4 linked regions of the Drosophila melanogaster genome follow. Changing the gene in region 3 together with the main gene of any one other region gives a genetic interaction. Each region holds a gene or a part of one and is shown on either strand. Other genes may lie near its edges. The genes, in order: pbl, foxo, wdb and Akt.

Region 1 (4,709 bases), on a different chromosome or scaffold from region 3:
ATATCACCTTAACATGACATCGAATGCTTTCCTCGGAAAGTAATATATTTATTTATGAAATACATAGTTATTTTTACTGTTCCTGCACCTTTCCCAGGTGTTTGTCGATGGTCTGGCTGAATGGATGGATGATTCACGAAAGACTTTACCCTACTTAAGTTTCCCTCTGGCGAATATGTTGCTCTTGCTTTTGCGCATATTCAACCCTTGGAAACGAGTACCTGAAGGGGTTTATCTGGGAATCTTGAAATACCTGTAAAATCCTCGTACACCTGACACAAGGCGGCCTGTCGAAGCTTCGCCTGTTTGACCTCCTCGTCGGCGGCATATGTGAAATAGGAGGCGGATTGTCGCTGAACCGTGACCACTTTGTTGCTCTTTTTGCCCAAATGGTTGCCAAAGTTGAACTGCACCAGCGGTAAGTGTAACATTTTGTTCGCAGATCCTCAAGGATCGGGCTCTAAAACATAACTAAATGCAAGACGAGCTCAGGCTGAGGGAACACCTGAAATCGCATTTTGCATGGCCACAGGTGGTAGCTTCTTCGGTTCAAACAAGAAGAAGAAGGTATGTAAGTGAGGTCAGGAGAAAAGGTAAACGCAAAATGGTAAGCAAAATTTCCGAGTGTGAGAAAGTGCCGAGACTCACAGGTGGCGGCCACCATTTTTCGCCATTCGGGAATTTCCTTCCTTTTTGCCCGAACAAAATCCGCTGTTGTTATTTATTTTCTACTTTTCCTCGCTGGCTGCCTGCCAGGGAAACGATGAAAAACTAATTGAGTGGCATCTGAGAAATGAAAAGCCATCGGAAGAAGAGGGCTGTGTGTGTGGGTTTCTGGGCATTCAGCCACGCAGCGAAAAATGTCCTATGCGAAATCATAGTTAACCCAAAATGACAATTTTTGATTTTTACTTAAATTCTCGTGTCTATTGCTTTTGACCTAGACCTAAAAGCATTTTTAAGTGACAATGAAATCCAAAAATAAAATATTTTATGTAAAAAAATTGTGTTTTAAACGAAAGACGTTTTGTAATTTTGGAATAATATTTAGAAAATTACTTTAAATCTCTAGAAAAAAAAACCTCAGTTTACCTGCAAGTTTAAATTATACATAAAATCAACCAATTTCTCGCTGTGTAGCGGATTTTGTCAAATAGCAGAGCAGAGTCATCAAAGAAAAATCTTGTAATAAAATTACGTACGTATCCCGCGGAAGCCTTGACGTAGGCGAAGAGCAGATTCCGAAGGTCTGCGGGCCATGTAAAATGCCATTAGCATTGAGGGACGGAAAACACGGACTACAGGCTATATAGTCATAGTTGTATGGGCATGTGCGCCCTGTCAACATGTGTAAATGGAATACGAGGTAATCGGCCAGCGGGGTAGGTAAACCACCCGGAAAGCAAGGATCAAGGATTCTGTGCAACAAGAGGAGGAAGTAGAAGGAGCGAAGAGCCTGTCGAGCAGGATAAATTCTTCTTCTTACCTGGCGGCAAGTATTAGAGCGGAGCAGACAGAATAAGTACACAAAGATATCATGTAGAGTTGATTTCAAAAGTATCTACATACATATGCACATTTAAAGGCTAAATAACATCAAAGGAGAATTGATTTTATAACCTAACCAAATTATAAACTTTTAATTGATATATGCTTTATTTGCGCCTCAAATTCGGACACAAAATACATTAAATGATAATTTTATTTGTTTATGCCGCGCGCTGGAAAAATTCCTGCCGTACAACATATTTACACGTATTTTTTAAGGCAATAACCTTTGAAATTGTGTGGTATTTGCAGTTACACGTTCTCGTTGCGGAAATCGTAGGCTTATGGAAAGTATAACAATTTTAATTGCCTAGAAACAATTTTGTTTTTAGTTAAATAAAAATGTTAAAAATATAATAAAAACTTTATAGCAGAGATTTCTCTTTCCCATCAATACCTAAATCTATCTTTTGTTAATTGTTTACTTTTTTAAGATTCGATAGTTTCTTGTTTACTTTCTTTTATAGCTACAACTCCATGGCTAAAAACGGCTGAATTCGCATCAATGATAACAGGAACTGATCGCTTAAATTGTTGTTGCTTGTCCTTTCTTTTTACTCTCACAACAGTTAGGGCGCCTCAGTTGTTGTTGTTGTTCTTGCTGTCGGTACAGTGTCGCCGAAGAGAGGGAGAGTGAGGGGAAACGATGATGAAGAGAGGGAGGCATTTCGCATTTATGCGATAAATATTTTCTACACCGAAATAAATTCAGAAAAAAAGATTAAAATATCTGCGACACGATGCCGTTGCTTTTTTAGTCACACAAATACACACAAAGATGTACTTATAGTCGTTGTTATTTCATTTTATTTTTTTGCATTTGCTGGCAGCGACATTTTTTATGAGGATCTTTTGGCCCCGAATGTGGTTTTACCCCGTACCCAACCCCTTTGGGCGACATTGAAAAATGATAAATTCGCCGGCCATTTGGAGCTGCCACGCCCCGCGCCCTCTTTCAGTACTCACCGCACTTCGATTGCTCTTCAATGGTCTCCATTTCCATGGATCTTCTGCAGTTACTTTTTTAAGGCGAACAACTCGTGGAACATACACAAAAACACACACCAACAGAACTCGAAACACAATAGAACGAACGCACAAGGAGACAAATAATTCGTTTGTACTCGATTCGTTTACTTTCATTAACTGGACGCTGTTTTCATGCATTTAGCGCGCATCATTTCCATGTTTGTTTGTTTTTCTACTTTTTGTTACAATTTATTTATTATTTAATTAAAAAGCGGCGGCTCACGAAAACACACACACACAGACGCGCATAGGCAGCGTCGCCCGGTTCTTCGTCCTCTTGTTAGCGATACCGCGTACCTGCTTTAGCAATTTAACCAACAAAATGATCAACAATGTAAGCGAATTGCGCTCAACGGCTGCGCGTCGGAATCACAAATCAAAACTCAACGGACAAACGCGTCTGTTTCGAATTTTTTTCGCTGTAGTGTGCCGCGCAGTGTAACCGTCGCGGGGGCGCCAAGAAATACGCGCAAATGTGATGAACGAAATACCAGAATCAATCGGCGCTAAATAATGGTCACACTTGCAAGGGGTTGAAGGTATTCCCTGTAATGCTATATAACTAAATTAAACGACTATGGCTATAAAATAGTTGTAAGCTGCACTATATTAACAATCAATTAGAACTGTTTTCTTCGTTTAAGTTGTTTTTGGCCTGTCGATAAATTAAATTTGGTAATATCCTACTATTGTTGCAGTTGTAGCCTCCAATCATATTTTTCATGCAAGCTATATAAGCTACAGTTAATTTTATGTATGCTTGCTCATATATTTAATAAATGAATGCCTAAAACTACTTGCTTTTGTGCTACTTTGTTTAAATATACGCGCTTGATAACAACGAGTTGACCGATAAATACTGCTGGCGAAGTATCGATACCAGTGACAAGCATTGCCACTACGTCCGCACTTGTTGCTGTATCTTCACGCTCACGCACACTCGCACACAACCATTACGTCAATATGGCAAACAATCTGTCAAACGCGCAATTACAACAAACACAGTTCGTTCGCATTGACAGTTGGTCAATAGGTCCATCCAGGATTCGCTGAAGTGGTGAAGATAGCCAAGGACTGCAGCTGGCGTGGATTGGCAGAGGGTAATCCAGAGATCCGCGCAAAATGCTGCCACAAACGCCGCCGCACGGATTGAAGGTGATGTCGGGAGCGGAGGAGAACCGACACTATCTGCGCGCCTTCATCCAGACATACAGGGATCTGCCCGTGCTGTGGGACACATCGCTGCGGGACTACACCAATCGGGAGAAGCGGGCGGAGGCCTATTTGCGCCTGGTGCCCATATACCATTATCTCAAGCGGGACGCCACCGTGGAGGATGTGAAAAAGAAGATCAACACACTGCGCACGAACTACCGCAAGGAGCTGAAGGTGGTGGAGAGTGCCCTGCGATCGGGCAGCCTCCACAGTCCACGCTGCTGGACCTTTCAGGAGCTGGACTTTCTGCGCAACTCGGAGAAGTTTCTAGCCGTCAATCCCGCCTTTAAGAACGAGCCCAACTTCGCCTTCGGTGAGAGCAGCAATTGCCCGAGTGCGTTTCTGGAGAGCCAGGGAGCAGCCCTCCATTATCCAGCACCACGCGCTGGTGGTCAGACGCCCAACATTTCCGAGATGTTTCACAAATCATTTGGAGCTCCGCCACCGCCACCGCCAGCAACCAACCATGTGGATTATGGGAGCAGCAAGCGAGCCAGGCAAACGCCGCCATGTACGGGAGCAGGAGCCGGATCTACTGGCGGTCCTGGGGCAACAGGCACCGCCCACAACACCGACGAACTACTCAACATAGCCTGCGAGTATTTGGCTGGCACATATCCGGAGGAGGAGTCCATCGCCCGCACCTGGACGCACAAACTGAAGCGACTGCCGCGCGAGCAGCGTCTTCTGGCCGAACGTTTCATCAACGAGATTCTCTTCGAGGCCGAGTCCAACAATCTGCATCGCGGATCTGTGCAAATCAACAACAGCTTCGAACCCTACGTTCGCTACGAAGAAACGCCAAATGGTCACGAGGAGCAGGACAAATCACAGAGCCCCAGTGTGCACACCTCCAGCGAATCCAAGCCCAATGTGTCGGGAGCGAGCGGAAGCGGGGGAGGAGGTGGGCCACCGGG
Region 2 (4,951 bases), about 14 Mb from region 3:
ATTTATATATACATATACATATACATATATATCGCTATATAGAGAAGGAGAGGCCCGACCAGGCAATGTGCAATAGTTCAGAATGCAGCGAGTGCGAACGCAAATGCAAATGAACGGCAGAGGCCCTGCAATGTTTATTGAATTCATTACAATAATTAAAGAGCAAACGAACGATTCGATTCCACTCGACCGATGGCGAAGTCAACCAGGAACGTAGAGCCCCCAAACGGCGATCTTCGATTGACAGCTGGGACAACTGACGCATGGAAATCATGGATGGGATCATCTGACTTCGCAAACGCAATCGATTTGCATTACTAACGTTTTTGGGGTCGGCGCGAAAAACGAAATAAATTAAGCAAAAAGAAGCGTTCGAAAAAAAGTTCTACACATCTGAGTAGAATATTTAAAAATCACAAAATAATACTAAGAAATAACTACTGGTATTCCGACTATATCTTTCTAAACAAAACAATATGTAGTGGCTCTCATTTAATGATCATTAAATTTCCATTACTAACGTTTTTCGGTTATCGGTAAAATCGACATTATCGATATAACTTATCGTCATTCTCAAACGAGCTTATTAGTAAGAGCTTTACTAATTCTTGAAGAATACTAGAATACGAAGAATACGTTTAATGTTGTCTCTCAAAATTAATTGACTTCCCGGTTTCCCTGCTTCAATTACAGCTTTTTAGACAAACTTTCGCACACTTTCTTGTTATCAACTGGCACGTTCCACCAATGTGGCTAGCAAACACTCAAGATATGATAAAAGTCACAATCGCAAGCACATAGGACGACTATACAGATGTGTGTATAGGCTTATATGTACACTTTTTTTGGGCCATCAGCTGCTGTTGTACCTTGGCACATTGCGAATAGATAAAAGCCTTATCTGTAAATGGGGAATAAAAAAGCCTCTTTCGACAGCTAACCGAGTGGCGAATCAACCCATTTATGAAAATTAAACCTAATCACATTTCAATGTCAATACTGATGTCAAGAGAATATTCAAAAGCATCTGAAAACGGTGCGTATACGAGATCGCTGGCAAAATATGGCAACAAAATCGACCTTAGTGGATCGCATACGAAAATCGGGGGAGCAAACAAACACAGAACGAAAGAAATGAGCTCCACGCAAACGACACACGCTTCAAGCTCTGCTATCAGTGTGGCGCTGGGGCTCTATTTTTAGAGCCATTATCAGCGCTGCTCTAATTAAGATCTCCCCTGCCCACTCCCATGACAAGTAACACACCAAAACGGACTAATCAAAACCCACACGAACTGAAAGATCATCTATTGGAGCGACACTGCAGCGCCGAACGTGACCGACTTTATGATTCTAGTCGTTTTGATCTTGAAAGTGAAACTAGGAATTACTCGAATAAGGTTATAAATCACATTCCCTATCGGTTGTATTAAAATTTGGGTCGTAAATTCAATAGATGTGACTACTTTAACACAACAAAAAGTCCAGCTTTCCTATCTAAAATTCTAAACACCAATATAAATAAAAGAACCTAACTCTAGTTTCTATTAAACCTCTTAACTTTTATCAAAGCTTATTTTTATAAATATAGCAATAGCAATTTATATTGGAAATATTTCACGGAAGAATGAATATTTTATTGTGGCGACTAAAAAAAATGTTGTTGTAATCAACATAAAATACCATTTAATTTAAATTTTAATTGATGTGTAGGAAAGCACTGCTTCAATTACTTTTTTAATCGCGTGACGAAACAAAATTTGACTTTTAGAATATTTCAATCAATTGCCGATTAGATTCGAATCGAATTTAGGAACTTAAAAAACATGACATTTTTCATTCAATCAAGTACACCTACTCGTAATTGTTAATAATATTTACCCGCCAAATGTTTGCAATGGGAAATAGCTGGCTAATTTGTTGCTCCTTGTTGATTGCGATTTAAAAAATTGTTGATTTTGCCGGTGGGATTTGTTGATCGCCGTTTGCTGTTGTTAACTGGCACTGTTTTACTTTATTTTCCTGGTTGCTTTGCACTTTTTTATGGGTTTGTTTTTTTTTTATGGGTAGTATATATGATTGTGTTGTTGTTTTGAGCGAAACTTGTGCGGATTTCTTGATTTTTAGTGGTTATTTAAATATATACATATATATTTTTTAGAATTCTGTTGGCATAATTTTCTGCTCACACACACACACACTCATTAAATGGGTTTCTTGTTGTTGCTGGGCGGCGGTTTTGCTTAAGCTAAAGACGATTGTAAAAACGGTAAATTAGAATATATATATAACAACAATCAAAATAAACAAATAAAAAGAGCGCGAAGAGAGCGGCGCGATTAAAGAGCGTAGTGTGTGTATGTGTGTGTGCCGAAGAAAGAGAGGGAGAGAGCGAAGAGAGCGATCACGTCACGTCATCAATTCATGCCAATTGGACGCACACACAACACTTAATTGGAATTCGTATGAGAATTCAATGAAAACCGTGCGGCGCAGTCGAAAAGTTGTTTAAAGTTCAAATGGGTAAAAAATTTTAATATAAACACGTTTCGGAGCTTACTCCAATTCGCTTTTTATTCGCCACTAGTGTGCGTAACGTATTTTATGTGCCATATAGTAGGTACATATGTATGTATTTGTATGTACAACGTGACTGCTACGAAGATCATCCAAGCATCGCTATTTAATACGTTTTGGAGCTTTTCTCTTATTTTATACGATTGTCGTATGTAAAAAACGAACGCGTTCCTTCTACGTTTCAGTTTTGAGTTCGGCACATTCACATGTTTTGAAAGCGAAACATATTTATTTTCCACTTTCTTGATTTGTTTCTACATTTGCGTTTTAGAATCAACGGTGTTCGGCCCCAAACGATTTGGGCCTCAAAAGATCACTGCGTTTTTTGCATTGGTTTATATTTGCTTTGCTTGAAGTTGAAAAGGAAAACGATGAACGATGAACGACCTCGTGGCTTTTAACCGCAAGCGAAAAAACACAGACTACTCGTTAACTGCTTTCTAGTTGGATGCGAACTGACAACTGAAACTGATTCGCCGTCGCCTTCGTAAAAGTGTTCGTTTCGGCGGCGCAAAAAGGCGGTCTGTGCGTGTGTGTGTGCGACCTATGTCCGCGTATGTGAGAGCTTGCTCTTAGCATCCACTCACGTTCCACAACCGCTCACTTCACCGCTTTTTTATGTTTGTGGCGCGCTTCGTCTCACACACTCTCACACACTTGGGGCCAAAAAATTAGTGGGGTATGCCAAATCGATATGTTTTATTTGAGTATTTTCTGCGTGAAATAAGAGAAGTTATAGCTATAGCTATAAATGCAATAGATATTTTAAATCTTAAAGCATACAAATTTCTCTCTTTAAGGGATATTAACCCCAACTAAATGATAATTCGTATAAAATAAAAAAGGAATTGTTTCAATACTTACAAATTTAATAATATAAAACTTAATCTATTTATTTTTAATAACGGGTGACTGTTTTAATGAAAAGAATAAAGTTCAGCTGCAGTGAAACATTTAAGACGTCATTGCATATTAATAACAATTTGAAAAGTATTCATTATAAAAAACATGTTATTCACTATTGAGGTGACCGCCTTTGTGCCCCCGTCAATATTAATAAATAAAAGCCATAGTTTACCTATTTTATACATTTGGAATTTAAATTGTTTCTTTTCATTTCGGTCGCGCTGCTCTGAACTCGAAATTCTCGACGATGGAGGAAAGGGAACGGCGGCGGTGGGTGGTGGTTGGGCGTTTTGGGTGGGGTGATGGGGCGGTCGGCATTGCTGATAAGGCAGCCGTTATCTCGCGATTGTCGCTCGCTCGTTCACTCAAGCTCTCTCTCTCCCTCCCTCTTTGAGGCTCCATTTCTCTCTTACGTTCATTGTCTCGTGATGCGATGGAAAATTTCCCGAAATTGCATTCTACTGATAATGCCAGCAATGCACATTTGTGCATATGAATATGGGACTCAGAAGTGCCCCGCATCTCTTGCAGTGTGCGAGCTTTTTGGGAGCATGTATTTTATGGTCAAAGTCCCCCGCATCCCCGACCACCGAAAAATAAGCCCCTCCCGGTGCCAGTTTTTTTTTTTTTTTTAATTTCATTTTTCGCCTAGGCCCGATATCTCTATACTTGTACACACGTTCGCGTCCATGAGAGTGTGTATCGGTGTTATTTTAATGTGCCTGCCACATAAATTCCGCAACATTACACGGCTAATGAAGTCTAGACGCTGAGGACGGAGAAACCAACAGTTTATGGATCATCCAAACTTAAAGACCGACCCGATGCGATCGTCTCGATCCCTCGAGAGGGGGGATTAGAAACGAGCCAAGGAGATGAGTTAAGGACTTTAGGGTGCATCTTGGCATATCTAGGATCTTAAAGATTTCAAATTTGCAGGCTTCATTGGGTAATTTTTTGTTAATTTGTAATTTTTCAGAATATTTTTATTGCTTAAAAAGCTCTTTTAGTTTTTTTTTGTTGTAAGATTATAGCTCTATTAAATAGGCCTCAAAGTCTGCAAAGTCCCGAGTTATGACAATAAAAGTTTGCATGTACATAGAGATTTTGGAATGCGAGAACAACAAGAAGATAAGTCCGCCAAAAGATACATATATATTTTAGAATGCTATTAAGTTGGCTTAAGAACGATAAGTAACACGTTGGTATAGGTAAGTTCCATCTGGAAGTGGGCTTATAAATCACTACTACCATTTAAATGAGCATGTAAATAGCATGTTAACTGGAGTATCAAATGAATTGAAGTTCTCAAGACTAATTTATGCGTTTGAATGATCAGATAAAAGTTAAAATCACTCGAGCAGTGTATCAATAGGCCGCCCACTTCCCATTCCATTCCATTGAAATTACACAGACGTTTCAGCTATCGCCAGCTAATACTTGATCATAATTGTCAGCGGCAAAAAAA
Region 3 (4,676 bases):
TAGAAATCCGTGACGTCAAAGCCAAGTTAACGGGCAAATAGACAGTGGGCCAGTTGACACAAACCCGCTTGGATGAACAATAAAAAGCGATTGTCAGCTAGAAACTGGAAATCAAATCGCTGAAAATTTAAGTGATCTTTTTTTCATCGCCACTTAATTGCACCCTAGTCACGTTCGGTTTGGGAACTTTACGCTGGGCGTGCTTGGGTTGCCTTGTGGATTACATGGATTATGGATTATAATTAAAGTGATCAGTGCGGCGATATATAATGGCTTAATTTCAGGGCAAATCGAGGGCCTTGTCACCGCGATGACAGCTACAGCTACATATATCTATATAGAGCTAAAGTTGTTCTGCCCCTTCGAATTGATTTACCATTTTGACACATTTATGATAATTTCGAGTAGGCTCGACGAATTTCGTGTGTCCCCACACGTATATATCAATTGGAACTTGTTAATTTGCCGAGCAGGTTCTGCCCCCCCCCCCCCCACTGACCCACCCCCTCAAGCAATCACTCAATCAATTAGAACCAGTTATTTGCCTGACTTTCAATCGGTGGTTATGGCTTAACCCCTTGGCCACATTTATTTAATTCGTTAAGACATTTCATATTGAGGTGACGTTGGCAATTGGCATTATGTTTGATTTAACACATTTAACAATTTGATGTGCTATAGTATATATAAATTGATATTTAAGTTTACGTGTTTCGTGGATAATAATAACTATTAATTAAATAAGAAAGGGGTAATGATATTCTATTGTATTGATGGACTTCCTTCCTTCAAACCCCTGTTTTTCTGAGCATTTTGAATTTGAATTTCTAGTAGTTTCATTTATGGCACATTAGTTATCCAAGGGTTAGGCATGGAACGGAAATGGAGCGAGCTTTTAGCCCAAAATGGCATCGATTTGAATCAAATTCGCTGTGGGCCAACTTCCGTTGGTCTTGGCATACCTTTCTCGATTTCAGAGTTTGTAATTCTCGTCTGCTCGATATCTCAGTTTTTTCAGTTTCAGTTTTGGTTTTCGGTTTCGGCTCTCGCGTTTGCCTACGTCACGGAGATGCTTTTTCTCGTTTTATCTTTGCTTTTGGCTGGCGGTTTAGCGCTGCTTGCTGGTTTTCACTGTGGATGTGTGTATAGCAGTTGGCATAATTGAATTAGAACTGTAGTTCACGAGAGAATTTTGCACAACGCATCGCGCGGGTGGAGGGGGTTGTTCGAATGGGAGGGGGGGGGGGGGCTGTGTTGTCCAAGTGGGGTCAACACATGTAAATGCGGTGTCAAAGCAAAATACACAAAGATCTTTAATGGCGAACGTGTGTGAGTGAGTGGGGCGCACTTTGGGGAATGGGAGAAGCGTAAGAATGTGAATGGGTAGAGAGAGAGGATGGGAAGATGAGTAAAAGGTGAGAGAGCGCAGCTGTTTTGATGGGGCTCTTTTCGCTGTTGCCTTTGCTCTATCTTTTGCTTCACTTCGGTTTGTTGATTCCTTTCATCTATTTTGCCTTTTTCCTCATTTAGGTAAGAGGAGTAAGATTAGGTAACTTGTGTCTATATGAACATAATTCTTAACACATTTTACTGCTTGACACACACACTTATCATAAATATGTATGTTTCAAACACACACACAGGCACACACACTCGGTGCGAGAGAGACACACACACGCACGCGGCACAAAATCGATATTCTAAAAATAATATAAGTAAAAAATATATATGCTCATACGAATTCTAACCGATTGCGTGCGTGTATTTGTGTGTGCGTGTGTGTGTGCGGGCTGGCTGGATTGCGAGCGTAATTACATATTTATTTATTTATTAAAACTTTTGAAACACCGAATTGCGTCTGGGGATTTAGCCGCTTACTGCGCACTTGAAAAATTTGCATTCGCCTTGGAAATTTGGCTTTAATTTTGCACTCGGCTTTGTTTAGTTGCCTTTTATTTCTCCTTCTTTATTCGGGCTTGGAATTTTCGCTGCAGAATTTATTAAAAACCGACTGCGTATGTGTGTATATAAAAGATTTCTATATCTTTTGCAACCGACGACGAAGGCGGCATACGGCAACTGTGGCGATATTTTTTTCCTTCGTCCGACTCTCGCGCTCTCTTTTCGTTTTCGGCTTGCTCTCTCTGGCACATGGGTATATACTATACGCGAGAGGGAGCAGGCACACACAAACGAAAAGCCTGCCTCCAATTGATTAGTATTAGTACTTCGAATAGTATTACTATTGTTATTGTTTTCATCTAGCTGACTTTCAATTGTTTGGTGCTGATATTTAGCTAGATTCCCCAGGTGCGATTACTCATTTGGCTTTTGTTTCGAGACCACTGTGCCAGATTTCTGGGTGAGAGCGTGGTGAGTTTCGTTTCAACTCACCACAGAAACTGTTGTTGCGCGTCGCGCTCTCTATTTAGGCGGCTCTCTCCCACACACGGTCACACTACAGTCCCAAAAATGAATGAAAATACCACAAAATACCATCCAACGCACGGGCACACCGGCGAACTGAAAGACGCCGCTGCTTTCAAGTTTTTCTCCCGTTTTTATTTCCTATCGAGGGCGATAACCAAACAAGGCTATCGTTATCGACCTCTCGCTCGCTCTGTATCCCTCCTTCCCTGTCGCACTCGCTCTCCTTTTGTGTGGCTAATTTTTTCCTTTTAGTCCTTTTTTCGGTTGCCTTCGTGCAGAAATTCCCTGCTTTATGTAATTTAGAACACAATGTTTGCGTTGCACTGTTGGCCGACTGCAGCTGAAAACCGCACAAAAAAAGCGACGCACACACACACCTTCGAGCATCCGGACTTCCAATTTGCACTGCTTTTCTAACAGTCTATCGCGCACGCACTGCCACAATTTCACCCGCTTATCGCGCCGCAATATGGGACGTTCGCTTTTCAATCGATTTTGGTAACCGGCAGGTGCGCTTTATGCGAGAATTACGAATTTTCTCCAGCGGCAACTAGAATCGTTCACACAGACACCGTAGAAGTGACGCCATCTTTGAAGCGATTAGTGTTGCAAAGCGCGTCTGCAAAAGTGCTGGCTACCAACTACGGTTGATAGGGATGAGGGCTATGGCTTGTTGACCGAAAATGATAAATGTTAACTATGCCAATATATTTTAGATTTTACTAATACGTTACAAAAATAAGAAAAGACTATGATAAAATTGTGTTTTAGCTTGGCTCATAAGTATTGATCCTTTATAAGCTATGGTCTTGCAGTGGCTAACATTTCTCAAATTAGGGCAACCATCTGATAAGATTTCTAATTCGAATTCTAATAAATGAATTTAAACTGCTTTTTCTTAAAGTTAAAAAAAAATTAGTTTTAAATCAAACGGCATGCATACATTAACCATCAAACAATGTAATTATATATATAATATTACCAATTGGGCTACTAAATATTGCTGATATGTAAGCTATGGTCATGAGGTAAAGGCATATTATTTATATAATTTTCATAGTATCTTTGTTGTAGGGGAAAAATAACAAGTAATTTAAAATTGTTCAATTGACTTAAAACAAAATATAACAGATATTATTTTTAAATCCAACGACATACCATATAAAGTTGGTATTTCTTTCTAATCTGCTTGGTATTCTCATCGACCCCAATCGGTCACACTGGTCGTGAATCAGAAACGCACTAATTAGTCAAAAAAACGGTACAAAAGATCGCTTAATTGCTGAAATTTCACCTGTCGCAGTTAAGTTTACCCACCAGCAGTTCAAAACCAGCCAGAGGCTAGCTAAAAACCCCAAAGATCGACCCCAAAACATCGCCGCAAAGTGGACAACTCCCAGTTTTCAGAGCACCTGCCCCTCAAAAAGGAGCATCGCGACAAAAAGGCGAGACTTCGCAGCAGAATGTCCTCGCTCTCTGCGTCCGCGGAGAATGTGTCCAGTTTGGGACTGGGATCGGGCGGAGGAGGAACTACTTCCCACGACGGCAACTCCCAGCAGGGTTCCGGATCCGACGGAGGATCCAGTATGTGCCTGGAACTGGCCCTCGAGGGTGAACGCCTCTGCAAGGCGGGTGACTGCCGGGCGGGCGTGGCCTTCTTCCAGGCGGCCATTCAGGCCGGAACCGAGGATCTTCGCACTCTGTCCGCCATCTACTCCCAGCTGGGCAACGCCTACTTCTACCTAGGCGACTACAACAAGGCGATGCAGTACCACAAACACGATCTTACGCTGGCCAAGAGCATGAACGACCGACTGGGCGAGGCCAAGTCCTCTGGCAATCTGGGCAACACCCTCAAGGTAATGGGTCGCTTCGACGAGGCGGCCATCTGTTGCGAGAGGCACCTAACGCTGGCCAGGCAGCTGGGAGATCGTCTGTCCGAGGGACGCGCTCTTTACAACCTAGGAAATGTCTACCACGCCAAGGGCAAGCACTTGGGTCAGAGAAACCCTGGAAAGTTCGGCGACGATGTCAAGGAGGCGCTCACCCGTGCCGTGGAGTTTTACCAGGAGAATCTGAAGCTCATGCGGGATCTGGGTGATCGTGGTGCTCAAGGTCGAGCTTGTGGTAATCTGGGAAATACCTACTACCTACTAGGCGATTTCCAAGCGGCCATTGAGCATCATCAGGAGCGACTGCGCATTGCCAGAGAGTTTGGTGATCGCGCGGCTGAGCGAAGGGCCAAC
Region 4 (7,637 bases), about 11 Mb from region 3:
TTTTTTTTTAATCGAAACCAAAAATTGTCTCACACAACTCAGTAAACTTAGACAACTATTTTGAAAGGTCTCTTTCGTCCCCTTCGACGGGTAGAAAATGCTTCGATTTGGGATACCAGAGATGTTGACGTTCACTAAGGCTAGTATTCAATTTGCTTCGGATGTCCCTAACCGATTTCTAAGTCTTTGCTTTAGATTTCTAGCTGGTTGCCCCTTGGCTGGCAGACTTGCCTAACGAGTCTGTCAGAAGGGTTATTGGGCTTGTTGAAGTCGATTCTCGGGTTGTATGTCTATTAAGCCATGCTTAGGGGTTCTATATTTTGTCTATGTATTGCTTGATCGATCTGAGATTGATATTGGCTAGCCTAGATGTCAGCCGCAAACTTGGTGAGCAGAAAGCAAGGACTTTAAGCTGTTCAAGGATATAAAGATTGGTTCAATCGGAGCTATCTGATATCTCTCCTCAGCATAGGCTGGCTTTAGCTAGTTAGTTCGTTCCTAGTCATGATTTGGAACCATCATCGTCACATGTCCAAGACTCCAACCGAAACATCCCGACTTGCTGGCTCCTCAATTCTCGGTTCTCCTCGAGTTCCACCTAACTTCGCCGCTTCTTTGGCATTTTCTTTTCGTTTCTATATCCCTTCGTTTTCGATTTGCTGTTTATTGTAATCATCGAGTGATAGGTTTCGTTTAACATTTAGAAGAGAGATTATGCTTTCAATTTCTTTGTTTTCAGTTGAAATTCCCGAACTTGATTTTATTTAATAATTTTTATTTACAATATTTATTTTGTTTTCTTTACGAAATATAAAATAACTTTTTGTTTCGTTTTATTCTTGATTTTTGTTTTTATTGCGCATATAAAAATATCAAAAATTCTTTATTTTCTTTTAGGTTTTTTTTCTGTTTATATAATTTTTAATCTTCCTTTTGGAACTATTTGTAAGTCTGTTGTGGTTGATTTATATATATTTTTTGCTGACTTGCTCTAAGTATACAAAACTTGTTATGAACTTTTCAATGCCAAAAATGAAATGACAAAGATACATTTTTTATTGTGTCAAAGGTTAAACCTTTTCTGTGGCCTCAAATGGTGACTTCCATTTTCCACACGACACATACATCCTTTGTTTTTTTTTTGCATTTACTCTTGAGTTTTTGCTTTTTTTTTATAAATATTTACAAATATATATTTTTCGTAAAAAATTATAATAAAAAATGGCGTCAATTGTAATCATTTTGCTGTTGCCGTTATTGTTTCGAAATATGTTTCTGCCTGAATATAACTTTTAGTTGCTTGCTAATTATTGGCGCCTATAAACTGCATTGATGTATGTTTCCCTCGTTTATTAACTATTAGTTTGTTTGTTTCTGTTGTTGTAGTTTTGCATAAAGCACAGCACATTAGAGGCAATTTTAACATTATATATAACTTGTAATTGTTTCTGTTTCTTTTTTGCTTCTTTGGAGTATAAATAATTTATATATACGAGTGTTGCATGTGGGGGCGGTTGTTGAATATGTGTATTTCGATTTGTTGCTGTCAAGTTAACTAAACTTCATGTTCGCTATATGCTAAGTGGCTGTGTGAGTGCTGTCTGCGTGAATAATCTGTATAATCAATCAGCTTAAGCGACCCCTAGAGGATGCGATCCGATGATGCATGCTTTATCCTAGCACTAAGTCGCTCTAAGTCGCTTGGTTAAATGTTTTCCTTGCGTTTAAAATTAACTAATCACTTCAAGCGCTATGCCCCAAGTGTTATATTTAGTTGTATATATAATTATATATATATATATATATATATTTATATATATGTGTATAATCATATGTAGTAAATTATTTTCCTCGGCTTCGGCTGTTGCCCTTTCGTTCAACGTTCCCTTTCTCATTATACAAAAATAAGTTACTATCAATTCAATTCTCTTATTATTGGTGTATATAAACTAGCAAGAAAACCCTTTGCTTGCCTTCGTTATCATGGTATAATTAATATTTAATATATTCTTGCTGTTGTTTTCTTTTGCCCATTTCTATGTGTTATAGGTATAGTATAGTAATAGGTGATGAAGCAGAACATGATGTGTGCTGGTAAAAGTTTGTAAACTTGTTCTATTGCATCGATGCGAGACTTGTGGAAGTACTAATGTGCGACGAGGTGCCCAACGTGGAGGCCATGTCTCCTTGGTAGCTGAACTGTGGCGGTGAAACCAAAAATTGGATGAGCATACAGAACCCCACTTTAAATGTTTTCAACTAGATCTTACCTGCGGGAAAAGCGGCTCTTCGGCTATGGAGCCCAACGGGCCAGTGGGATCCGGCGGCGTCAACTCCACACTCTCTCCCGTAAACTCCTTGTCGAAGTACCTTGTATCCGTATCGGATGTCACCTGAGGCTTGAAAGGCGGCGGTATCTACGGTAAGCATTTTAAATTCGATTAATATATACGAATAGGTAACTGACAGATTTACTGTGCCCTACTTTTTTCAACACTAGATCTGTCCAGTTAATACTCGCAAAGAATGGATGTGCTTGTATCTCCTTGACATCATCCTTTCCACCTCCCAAACGCTTTTTGGGATCCTTAGCTAGAAGGCCTGCTAACAGATTTTTCGCCTCATCTGTGATATTACGCGGGAATTTTACCTCCTCCACCAAAATCAATGTAAAGAGCACATCATGATCACGATTGTAAAACGGAAGACGACCACAGATCTGTAAGGAATTATTTTTGTTTTTAATACTTGTTAATAGTATTTGCAGATGCAACAAACTCACCATCTCGTACATGACCACGCCAGTGCCCCACCAGTCCACCGCTTGGCCATAATCATTGTCATCTAATACTTCCGGAGCTAGGTATTCCGGTGTACCGCAGAAGGTTTTCGTTGTGCGGCCGTAGGTGATGTCCTCCTTGCACAGACCGAAGTCTGCGACCTTTATGTGACCATCTTTGTCCAGCAAAAGATTTTCCAGCTTTAAGTCGCGATAAATTATGCCCTGTGAATGCAGATAGCCCAGAGCAGAAATGATCTCTGCCCCATAGAAACGTGTTCGATCCTCAGTAAATATGCGTTCGTGGCTTAAATGCCAAAAGAGCTCGCCACCGTTCACGTACTGCATCACAAAACACAGGCGGTCGTTGGTTTGAAACGAATATTTGAGTGACTGCAAAACAGGGAAGACATATATTAGTTTTTTAACGTAAATTATATATTACTAGCAATACTTACAATGAGGAACGGATGATTTGTGGACTTGAGCACACGACTCTCGGTCAGGGTATGGGCCACCTCGTCCTTTTGGATAATAACTTCCTTTTTAAGAATTTTGATCGCGTACAGCTTGGCGGTAGCCTTCTCGCGACACAAAATAACCTTACCAAAGGTGCCCTTGCCGAGCACCTTGAGGAACTCAAAATTCTCCAAAGTCTACAAGGAGATAAGATGGAGTCAGCTCGATCACGCCCTTGGTCAATGACCAGGTGAGTGGTACTTACCACTTTCTTAACGCCGCTGCTATTACAAGTCGTTCCCTGTACGGAGAACTGCTCGGAAAGCTCGTCCTCGGCAATGGTGGCCATGTCCACGTCTGTCATGTCTGTCTGTTCAGATGGCGTCATAGCCACCTCACCCACATCTATGAGCCGGCTGGATACGTTGCGAATGGCCTCCGTCCACTGCTGGCGCTCTAATTCTGATTCGACGGCAAATGTCCTTTCGATTACCGTGGTCCATTGCAGGCCGCGGATGATGAAGGTGAATGGCTTGGGCCGATCGACGGTCATGATCTGGCAGCCGCGCACCGTAAAGTTGTTGAGCAGGAAGTCCGATGGCGTGCTGGCACTATCTGCCGGCTTGCTGCGGTAACCCATCAGTCTTCCATCGGAGTGGAGCACGAAGTAGCGCTGGCGCCAGTTCTTTATGTGCTCGCCCCTCTTCATCAGCCACCCCTCCTTTACGACCTGAGTCTGTTCCGTAAGCGCATGACCCGATGTAACGCTGGGCGAGCTGAGGTCGAAAGTTGTGTTTATTGACATGGTTCCGGAATCGTGTGTAGGGGCCGCGGAGGTCCTGCTTGGCCAGGATTGCTGCCAGCTGAATTTCTCTGCACTGCCGCTGGTGGGGCTGCTGTTTGGATGGGTGGATTGGCTGTAGATGATGTTAATGATGTTGCTCCCTGTGGTGGTGGGCGATTCCGGGATCCTAGAGGCAGATCCTGGCGCTGGGGCGCTGGCAACCACAGTCGATCGCCGCTGAAGAACAAACGGTAGGTAATTCGTGTTGAGGCTGTTTCACTAACCCTAGGGACAAGCTAATGAGGGACCTGTAAGAGGAGTACAGTGAATCCTTTATATTCATGCTGAGTTTGAAATACTTAAACTAAGAATGCGATCGACGAAAAGAAAAAGGCTTTAGCAGAGGGTTCGTCTAGTAACACCTTTACCTTCAGGGATTCAACATGTACTAGATATTAACTGATCCGCCAACTGTCGACATAAACTAGTCAAAGTGGACAAATGGAGTTCCCAAATGAGCTAGCTATCAAAAAAGGGGAAACAGACACTAAAAGGCTGCCAAGTCTATCCAGATATATACTTCCCACATCGCCTATCTCACGCTGATAGTAAACAATTGTTATTGTCATTTTGCATGTTTATGACAAATGCAGTTGGCGCTTGCGTCAGCAGCTGGTGCAAAACATTTGCGGCATTTCCGTCGCCAGAAAGGGATTGAATTGGATTGAGGACTGTGATTCTGATTGTATCGAATTGGATGGGTTGGTATGGTGTGGCATGGTATGGGATTGGATTCTTAGTCACTGGCCCACATGCAGATGTAGGCGCCATCGTCGCCTTGTTGTTGCTGCCACTTTCGGCTTCAAACGAAATTCCCCGCCATGTTACGCAGCGACACGGCGATACGAGTGAAAATTGTTCGCGATTGCATTTAGCGCGAAATTAAATCAAAACAAGTCGACGGCGGCGACTGTTCATGAACTTATGTATATGCATATATAATACATACATATACATATGTACACATACAGGGGACTCGCAGGCGGCACTCGCACTCGTACTCGCACTCACACTGGCACAACTGCAAAAGCAAAAGCATATTCATTTACAATTTGCGAAAATGTCAACGACGGATGGCCGCCGGCTGTACAAATGTCGCTATCTATCTAAAACTGTAAACAAATGTACATAAAATAAAAATCGACAAAATACACACACAGGCATAAGCGGACAGGCGCTCGCACACCGAGGCAGTCACACAGACAGGGCTGCATTGCAAAGTGCGAGTGAGGCCAGACTGTGGGTGCGAGGGGGAGGGAGACAGACAGTACGCGTGTCTGCCACAAAGGTGTATGAGTGTGAGTGTATGTGTGAGTGTCTGGCCGTGTGCGTGTGATTGTCTGGCCGTGTGGGTGTGAGTGGCTGAGTGAGTGAACCACCGAGTGTGCGAGTGTGTGTGGGCAGCGGCGACCTAGCAGCGCAACATGTCAAATCACTTCGTGGAAATGGAAATTGTGGAAATGCTGGTGAAAAATACAAGAACCCACCTAGTTTTGTAAAAAAAAAAACCCGACTTTTGCTTTCCCTACTGCACTGCGGTTTGTTTTCCTACTCGTTTTGGTATTTTCCTTTAGATGGTGACGGCAGCGACAACGTCACAGGCCTTCTTATTATTGTGCGTGTGTTGTTGTTGCTGCTTGCTATTGTTGTTGTTGCTGCTGCTGCTGTAGTTGTTGTTGTGTTAAGGTGCCAGACACCAGAGGACGGAACGAAACACACACAATCTCGCACTCGCGCACTGGAAGTCGATTTCCGCCACCCGGGCGTTTCCACTTGGTGTTTTCTTGCCTTCCAAAGCAACGTTGCATCAATTGCAAATGCTTAAAAACGTAGTTTTCATAAACAGAAGCACGCACACAGGCAAAGTAAATTTTCCAAGTACCGTTTAGTTTTTACGCTTCACTTTTTTTCGATAACTGGCTCGATAACTGATTCGATCCGCGTTGCCACCTGTTTTAGCGATAGTTAGGCGACTGTTACGGTGGAAAGATGCCAGAGAGAGACATTATTTAAGAGCTGTACAACGCGCAAATATCCCTTAAATTTAAATTAAATGTTTTAGAAGGCAATAGTTCTGTTTTCTGACTGTCTAGGCCGACTCTTTAACTAGAATTCACTTCAAATTTGAATGTATGAACTGCAGATTAATAATAATGCTGTATTGTTATTAAATTCATTTTTAAAAACTTTATTTTATATGCTATGTATACAAAACTATTTCTTATATCGACAAATTGTTATAACTTTTCAAAGCATAATTGATCAAAAATTTGGAAGCCCTATCAATTTTATATATGGTTCCTGTCCGCACTAAGTAGATACTCTGATAAGTATGACCATGTGTAAGTAGCTAGAAAAAGTCAGTTCTCTTTTCCAGTTTCCCAGATCAAATTTGATATTCACCTCTTTGGGCACTCTTGCTCAGATTTGTTTATGCAGAACGCGAAGTCTCCTTTGAATCCGAAAAAAAAACAAAAAACGAGTAGCGAATAAAGTGCCCCATTGGCACAAAACGAGGTAAATAACTTGCAACCCAATCGGAAGGGAGAACATAGCATGCCACTTTCAAATAAACAAATAACGACTCCAGCGCGACTGTGTGTGCGTGAGTCCCTCCCAATGTTTGTGTGTGTTATCAAAAAAGGCGTAGAAAAGTGCAAAAACAAAGGTGTTATTGACTCTCAACTTTCTTTTTCTGCCTATCGTGTGTATCACTGTGGGCTGTGGCCGAATAAGAGCGTTCGCCGAATATGAGCAATTGGAAAAGCATGAGCATAAGTAATGAGGCAGAATCGGTTGCATTCAATTAGTTGGAGAAATGAAAAATATGAAGAGATGGTGTAGAGAGAAGGGAAGAGTGCAGTCTCGAGCAATCAATACCAACGCAGCCACGAGCCCCCCTTTCTTTGTGTGTGTGTGTGTTACCGTGTGAAAACAAAACAAATGTATGCTAGCTGTGGAAAAGAAAGCGCATAATTGAATAATAAATAATAACAGAAACAGGGCAAATGGCAACGACTCAATGACAAAAGTAAAGCCGCCACCGCAGCAGAAGAAATGTGGGTGCAAAAGTGAAGAAATATGCCATTGTTTATGTGATTTGCAAATGTGCACATTCACACAAACACCGTGGCAAGATAACGGTTGTTGTGCGGGCGGGTGCATTGCTCGAAGTGGCTGTGCAATTGTAAGAGCGAGATAGCAATACGAAGAGAACAGGACTGAGCAGTACAGGGGCGAAATCCAGGGGACCTTAAACGTGGATTATGGGCACCTTAAATGTTTTTGTAAAATCAAATCACATAAATACCGTACTTTAAACTATTCAGTGAATTAAAATTGTGTTACTGATTTTAAAAATGTAAGTTGTAATTTCAAGTTTGGAAATGAACGGTATGCCCTGCACGTTTGTCTAGATCCACCCCTGGATAGAGCGCAGCAAAGAGAACAGTGCAAATCGAATTAGTCCAGACTTTTGGTCACGCCCTTGAACTTCGCATTAACCCACCAACGCCCCCCTTCCGCAGCTAGCACCTAAGGACCCCACACACCACA

The links.
Region 1: of wdb (region 3) and pbl, changing one enhances a phenotype caused by changing the other (phenotypic enhancement), as found in Drosophila melanogaster (one study listed by BioGRID).
Region 2: of wdb (region 3) and foxo, changing one enhances a phenotype caused by changing the other (phenotypic enhancement), as found in Drosophila melanogaster (one study listed by BioGRID).
Region 4: of wdb (region 3) and Akt, changing one suppresses a phenotype caused by changing the other (phenotypic suppression), as found in Drosophila melanogaster (2 studies listed by BioGRID).

The regions. Positions count from the first base shown.
Region 1 is NT_037436.4:7,908,908-7,913,616, forward strand, and holds the start of pbl (pebble), read right to left. Parts: upstream 3,048-4,709; 5' UTR 2,552-3,047; coding exon 2,515-2,551; intron 432-2,514; coding exon of another isoform or gene 254-431; intron 1-253. Other genes in the region: CG8281 (uncharacterized protein), read left to right, coding at 3,700-4,709.
Region 2 is NT_033777.3:14,055,038-14,059,988, reverse strand, and holds the start of foxo (forkhead box, sub-group O), read right to left. Parts: upstream 3,045-4,951; 5' UTR 2,965-3,044; exon of another isoform or gene 2,561-2,964; intron 2,249-2,560; 5' UTR 1,882-2,248; intron 1-1,881. UniProt on the Drosophila melanogaster protein: Transcription factor involved in the regulation of the insulin signaling pathway. Consistently activates both the downstream target Thor\d4EBP and the feedback control target InR.
Region 3 is NT_033777.3:27,579,195-27,583,870, forward strand, and holds the start of wdb (widerborst), read right to left. Parts: upstream 3,048-4,676; 5' UTR 2,395-3,047; intron 2,350-2,394; exon of another isoform or gene 1,950-2,349; intron 1,132-1,949; exon of another isoform or gene 963-1,131; intron 1-962. Other genes in the region: pins (partner of inscuteable), read left to right, coding at 3,894-4,676.
Region 4 is NT_033777.3:16,097,593-16,105,229, reverse strand, and holds the start of Akt (Akt kinase), read right to left. Parts: upstream 6,003-7,637; 5' UTR 5,570-6,002; intron 4,471-5,569; exon of another isoform or gene 4,451-4,470; intron 4,331-4,450; 5' UTR 4,287-4,330; coding exon of another isoform or gene 4,044-4,286; coding exon 3,504-4,043; intron 3,436-3,503; coding exon 3,238-3,435; intron 3,173-3,237; coding exon 2,783-3,172; intron 2,720-2,782; coding exon 2,486-2,719; intron 2,418-2,485; coding exon 2,271-2,417; intron 2,200-2,270; coding exon 2,116-2,199; 3' UTR 1-2,115. UniProt on the Drosophila melanogaster protein: Serine/threonine kinase involved in various developmental processes. During early embryogenesis, acts as a survival protein. During mid-embryogenesis, phosphorylates and activates trh, a transcription factor required for tracheal cell fate determination.